Saccharomyces cerevisiae S288C: one gene and its partner. The gene in region 1 interacts genetically with each later gene. Each region holds a gene or a part of one and is shown on either strand. Other genes may lie near its edges.

What was found. Genes that interact genetically often act in the same process or in processes that back each other up.
Region 2: mutations in LGE1 (region 1) and RXT2 together harm fitness more than expected from each alone (negative genetic interaction), as found in Saccharomyces cerevisiae (6 studies listed by BioGRID, with this or other methods).

The regions. Positions count from the first base shown.
Region 1 is NC_001148.4:453,347-456,703, forward strand, and holds LGE1 (Lge1p), read right to left. Parts: upstream 1,645-3,357; coding exon 646-1,644; downstream 1-645. Other genes in the region: LCL1 (Lcl1p), read right to left, coding at 84-389; LEE1 (Lee1p), read left to right, coding at 2,413-3,318. UniProt on the Saccharomyces cerevisiae protein: Required to activate transcription of PDR3, a gene involved in retrograde regulation of multidrug resistance, a phenomenon that takes place in cells that have lost their mitochondrial genome. Also required for ubiquitination of histone H2B to form H2BK123ub1.
Region 2 is NC_001134.8:433,906-437,509, forward strand, and holds RXT2 (Rxt2p), read right to left. Parts: upstream 1,794-3,604; coding exon 501-1,793; downstream 1-500. Other genes in the region: PBY1 (putative tubulin tyrosine ligase), read left to right, coding at 1-392; YBR096W (uncharacterized protein), read left to right, coding at 2,116-2,808; ubiquitin-binding serine/threonine protein kinase VPS15, read left to right, coding at 3,046-3,604. UniProt on the Saccharomyces cerevisiae protein: Component of the RPD3C(L) histone deacetylase complex (HDAC) responsible for the deacetylation of lysine residues on the N-terminal part of the core histones (H2A, H2B, H3 and H4).

The sequences.
Region 1 (3,357 bases):
ATAACAAGAGGGGAAAAAAATGTGGAAATTGGCAGTGGACGTGAGAACAAAAAAGCACCGCTGAAAGGCTTGGCCAAGGAAGTTTAGAAAGGCGATAATAACGAGGTAAGAAGAAAGAAAAAAAAAGAAAAAGATGGCTTAGCAAAAGATTGGTTTTTATCCCGGGGGAGTTGTTGTGGCCGGGAGCAAGAGAAGAGACGCAGCAAGCGTGGGTCAATGATAATGACGCAGCGCGACGCGACGCGACGCGAATTCAAAAGTGTGAGTTTGCTCGGGGATAGTAATAATGCGGGGGGGAAGACGAAACAGACCGTGTGTGGTGTGGGTGGGATTTCGTGGGAGCACGTGGCGAGCAGAGGAAGAGCCTCACACAATGCTGCGTTCTTCATAAAGGGGATCAAAGCAAATAGATAATCGATTCCAAAGACAGATGGCTGACACGCACTTTCACAGTTTCGCAGTTTTTTCTTTTTTCGTAGTCGCTTTCCTAGTCGCTTTCCTGGCTCTTTACCTAATCGGGCTTAACCTAGCAGTACCTTTTCTCGATTCATGAAATCAAAACGCTAGTCACTTCCTTATAATTTCCTTTTTCAATTTCCGCCGCTTGCGTTTACGTAGTTTATCTATTTATAGGTACGGTATACCCTACTGCATTAATAACAATGAGTCCAGCTTTTCTTGGGTCAGTTGAATATTTAATGCATGCTTGTCGCACTGGTTATTTAGGAGCCGCAATTCTAGCTCATTAGAATTGATTTTTAGGTTTAGTTCTTCCAAAGCGGAATCGATGGAATCGCTCTCTTTGAAAACTTCCCTCGCCTTTTCACATTCACTTTCGGTGTTGTTTGTCTTTTTCACATTTTTATCAAAATCTGTCAAGTAAATAAAGGGGGAATCTTTCATATCTAGTATTCTTTTCTTCTTGACGACGCTGCTGCTAGAGCCGTCGCTGTTACTTCTATTTTCTGGTACGTGTACTGGGTAACCCTTTGCATAATAGCCATTCGATGGGGGAGGCGGTGGTGTCTCACGGTGGTGGTAATTATTGTAAGTATGGCTGCTGGAATATGGATAAGCACTGCTGTGATATGATCTATTGTTGGTTATAGACGATACTGAAGGTGGTGGCGGAAGCCCGTTGCTGGTGCTGCTAGTGCTGCTGTTCCCACTACTACCATTTCTGCTGCTGGTGCTGCCAACGCTCATCGGTTGTTGGCGTGGATGATCTGCCTGCATGTTCCGGTATCTGGACTTGACTCTTTTTTCGTCATTATCTTCTTGCGAGGCGCTCGTGGTCCTGCCGTTCGTATCTTGACTATTGCCACGTTGCGGTAGGTGGTACGAATTTGTACCATTGTTGTACCTGGGGGATGGTTGTGCTTGGTAATGCCTGCTATTAGCTGAATAGTACGGCCTTGTATCTGTGTATCCGTTTCGATAGTATGCTCCGGTTTGTCTCAAGTCTCCCTCTTGGGGCGGCTGCTCATAGTCACTGTTGTATCTCGCGCCATAAGACGCATTACCGCCTCTGTAATACGATCCGCCTGCTCCACCTCTACTTCGTCTCGCATGGTGATAACCCCCCCTTTGTCTCGGAGGAGTGGATGAGTATCTGCTATAATTATTTCCCGTGTATCCGCTCATACTTTACTGCGGTTTTTTGGTCACCTCTTCTGCCTCGTAATAAATGTGGTGTTCTTTCCTTTCATCGCAGTTGATTCATTCTCTCTGATGAAAATAAGAGAAAAAAAAGAACTTCACAGGGTAATGGCCCGTACAAAGTGTCTTTTTTTTCAATTCGGAACGGCGGAATTCCCCGCCACTCTTGCCCCGCCCCTTAAAACGCCAAGGTGAAAGGGAGCTCTACTACAGGCCCGCCACAGTATGATGTGGGATAAAAAAGATGATAGGAAGAAAAGGTGCAGACAACATCCTGTATGGGGTGCACGGTGTGGCAGTGCTAGTAATAAAATGATGTGGAGATTAACATGTTGTGGTACGGTATTCTTATCTTCAAGGTACCACAGTATAATTCTGCCTTTATCATTTTTTATTTGTATTATGTATTTTCGTGCTTATCTTGTAATTTTTAAGTTTTGGATTTCGGTGCTTCGTGTAGTTCTTCCCCTATATCTCAATCTAAAGTAAATTATTACAAAATATGGTGGTGATCTTTTAATCTCAAAGCTTCTTTTACTCCGGGCATTATAAAAACAGAATCTCTTAGCAGTTACTCTTTTCCCTTTTCTCTTGTGCCGTCATATTAGAGTAATTATAATTTCTTCTTTTTCGGCTTCCCCTTGTTTCTACAAAATCTCGATTTTATTATCTAACACTATCATAACTACTACTATTACTATTACTATTATTATTATTATTATAAATCTTAAAACTATTATTTGCTAAAACAAAATGGATGCTTTTGAGAATATGTCTGTATCAAATCATCCGGGCGGTAACGCAAGAAGAAACTCCCAATCAGCAAACGAAATGCTTGCATCGCAAATTCAGGATTTCCAGAATATTCCAAGGTCTTTCAATGACAGCAATGCAAATGTAAATTTGTCAAAAAATTGTACTGTCGGCAATCAACTGCCTTTCTCATCACGTCAACAAAAAATTATCATGGAACATTTACTGATAACGAAGAACAATTCTCAACAGCAGAAGGACTATTCACACGTGCCATGCAAATTTTTTAAGATGGGCAATTGCCAAGCTGGCTCGTCTTGTCCCTTTTCCCATTCCCCAGATATTATCAGTTCTGCGAATAATTTACCTTGCAAGTATTTCGCAAAGGGTAACTGTAAATTCGGTAACAAGTGTGTTAATGCTCATGTGCTGCCAAATGGGTTCAAGATGAACAGTAAAGAACCTATTGACATCACTCCCCCTTCACAAAACAACTACTTATCCCATGCTAGATCAGCTTCTTTCTCTACCTACACGTCTCCTCCTCTGTCTGCACAAACGGAATTCTCTCACTCTGCTTCGAATGCAAACTACTTTTCCTCGCAATACCTAATGTATTCGCCTCAGAAAAGTCCAGAGGCCCTATATACTGAATTCTTTTCTCCCCCTTCGTCTTCTTCTTCGTACATCAACTATAGCTATAATAACTCCAACATTAATGCCTATTCTCCAGTCTCTTCGTCTTCATCTAACATTTGGCAAGAGCAAGGCCAAACTACGTTATCGAATCCGAGTGTGAATCAGAATTTAAGGTATCGTACAGGCCCTGCAATTCAAGAAGAATCAGATAATGAAATTGAAGATTTACTTATTCACAATTTCAATTCCAGATACTGTCATGAATGAAGAGCCGCCCCATCCATAGTTTTTCCTAGTTCAAGCATT
Region 2 (3,604 bases), on another chromosome or scaffold:
ATTCTTCTGTTTTGGAGTTTGACTCCATAGAGGAAATTCCAAATGAGAGAAAGTCCAATATTAAGGAGCAAATCCATAGCATAACGAACGACGTTTTCTTAGCTGCTGTAAATGTAAATAGATTAAACTTCCAACCGTTACCAAACGCATTTGAAACATATGGCGTAGACTTTTTGATTGATTCGAATTACGAAGTTAAATTACTAGAGATCAACGCTTTCCCAGACTTCAAACAAACTGGGAAAGATTTGAAGAACCTCATTGATGAATTATTTGATGACACTGTCAAATACTGTGTTACCCCCATCTTTAACGAGAATAGAAATAAGACAGATGATGAAACAGACCCGAACTTCGTAAAAGTCATTGATTACACTTCAAACGGTTGGTGAAACAAAAAAAAAAAAAGAACCCATCCTAAAATACTGTTATTATTACTAAATAGTGCTAAATAATACATATGCCTTGATTTTATTTCCGAAATTTTTTGTTTTGTCAATTTAGGCTCTATTAGCTTCTTCATCAGGTTCATTATCGTCTACAACACCGTCTTCCATGGTATTTTCAATTTCTTCCTCAAAATTTGTTGTCTTATTTGTTGTAGCACTGATCAGACCTCTCTTCACAACACGTAGAGCCACCGGGATAGTAATATCATCGTCAGATATACCCAAATATTCCCGACTCCAATTTAAAATCCTACCTCTTATTCTATTGGCTTTTATTACAGACTTTCTGATTTTTTGTAAGTTTCTTATGAATTCTTTATTCCTCTGTAGTGCAATCTGCGACAGCTGTCGGGCAGACTCAATTTCCTCATTTAACTGTTGTTGTTCGGCCGCTGTTAATGTTGATATAGAAGCAGAACCGGAAGAAGATGGCAGCAACGATAACAGCGCATTAGATTGTTCCAACCTTGGCAATGCAAAAAAAGGATCTTCCTCTCCAAATTCTTCCATGCCATTATTGATATGACCAGCTTCAGTAGACAAACTATTCGAGTTAACCTCGTTGATATTGTTTTTGTTGTTAATGTCATCCTCGTCGCTTGCCCCTCTATCCTCTGGAAGGGTCAAATTGTGATTATAAGATGGTAGGTTCAAGTTAGATTCATAAATTGGTTCAGGATGATCTCCTAAAAAAACCTCCAAAAACTGGGAATATCTAACAACTGACATCTGTTCTTTTTCAATCATTAGAATTATTTGCAAGGCTAAATTTTTCAAAATTGGGCTTGAAAATGTCCTTGAGATAGTTTTATGATTTATTATATCCCCTAGGGAAAGAATGGGAGTCAAAATCTCCTTTACATTCACTAGTTTTGATAGGTCGTCATCGTCTTCTTCGCCGTAATACTCATCAGTGATATTTTCGTCTTCCTTCTCACTACCATCGATGTCGTTTTCATCACCGACTAAAACAGGCTCGACGTTGATGTCAGGTGTGAATTTTATTCTTTTGCGTCTACTATCAGTGACAATATTTGTTTGCAGAAGGCGATGCTCCGAACCGTTATAGAACACAGTTTGCTCAATCATTGGCTTAGAATTGTTCAAGTCTCTTCTTGTTACTACTTCGCTTCTCTGCAAAAGTTTGTTACCTCTGTTAGAGGATATGCCAGTGGCCTCAGGATAGATTAGTTTTCCATCAAGGGATCTTTTCAGTACCTGATAGTTACCGCTTTTTTCCTTTATTATCCTTCTAGTAAATGTGCTAATTATATTCGATTCATTAGCTAACACACTCTTGCTTTCCAATTCTGCGTTGTTTTTCATACTGCTCCTAATAGTCATCTCGATCAACAAGAAGCAACAGCTGAGATATTTGTTTCTCAACCTCTTTTTTGCAGGAGATGCTGTCATCAAGCAACGTTTCTTCTATTTGAAAGCGATTGTTTTACCAGAACAAAGTTCGCTACCCGGCTTCGGTCCTCTTGGGTATAGGAGACAATAATGATCTTCGAATAACGCCGTTATAAAGTGAACATTATAATTATCCGCTTAAAGGCTTTTTAGTAATTTTGTAAAACAATTGCTTCTAATTTCAAGACTTCCAAAAGGTTTCTCGAGTAACTAGTGCTTTCCAATATCTACAACAAAATAAAATAATAGAATAATGGGTGTTTGCACTATTTTTAGGTGGCTCTTTGCTGCTTACTTGCTCTCTTCATATAAGTCGCTTCCTGGGGCATATTTTGTTAGGTTTTATTATTATGTTATTCAAAACTTGTTCTTGCCTATGTTTACAGGGTTTGAAACCGAGAATATTAAGAAACTTGAGAAAAATGAATATGGCTGTTTCTCGTACACCAGCCTAGATACCTATGCCTCTCCATTCGAATGTGACTTCTACTTTCATAAGAGCAATAGCACCTATTTTGCGGAATTGGACATTTCAAGAGGTAATCTCATGTGCAAGATTTTTCAAAAATTGATGCTGAATTCCAAGCATTATCCATATATTCCAGTTGCGAACGTTTTCACTAATTTCTTGAAGGAAATCAAGCCTTTTCAAAAGTACTCGGTTTCATCAAGGATTATCTGTTGGGATGAGAAATGGATTTACGTCATGAGTAGATTCACAATTAAAAAGGGCACCGTCTTATGCTCATTATCATTGACCAAATACGTCCTTAAGGACGGTAGAAAGACCATCAAACCAAAGGATGCTCTTGAATACTGTGGTTTATATAATGAGAAGGTCGCCAAAATTTCTGAGGACAATCTAAAGCTTTTAACCGAGCGTTGTGGTTTCCACGAGACAGTACCATTGGAAAACTTGAGCCAAGAGTACTGTTCAGAAATCTAACTTCTATACACATATAGCCGGTATTATAAAATATATAAATCTATCTTCTTTCAAAAGTTTCTCTGTGCAGTCTGCGTTATATTTTATCTTCGGTAGAAAACAAGGTAAATTTCCCTTATTTTTCAACATCATAAAAATGAAAAACAGATATATCTTAAGTAAGATACTTAAGCAGACAAGTTGAATTGGAGAAATACAAAAGCTGTAAGGTTATCAAAAAGGAAGGCATACAGTATAATGGGGGCACAATTATCACTAGTGGTCCAAGCATCACCTTCCATAGCCATTTTTTCATATATCGATGTCTTAGAGGAAGTACACTACGTTTCACAGTTAAACTCATCAAGATTCTTAAAAACATGCAAGGCACTGGACCCTAACGGCGAAATTGTTATCAAAGTGTTTATTAAACCAAAAGACCAATATAGCTTACGACCTTTTCTCCAACGTATAAGGGCTCAATCGTTTAAGTTGGGACAACTACCGCACGTTTTAAACTACAGTAAATTGATCGAGACAAATAGAGCCGGCTACATGATACGGCAGCACTTAAAAAATAATTTATATGACAGATTGAGTTTGAGACCTTACTTACAAGACATTGAACTGAAATTCATTGCTTTCCAGTTGTTAAATGCATTAAAGGACATTCATAATCTGAATATTGTCCATGGTGATATAAAGACAGAAAATATCCTAGTAACAAGTTGGAATTGGTGTATATTGACAGATTTTGCTGCATTTATCAAACCCGTATATTTGCCTGAAGATAATCCAGGTGAATTTTTATTCTACT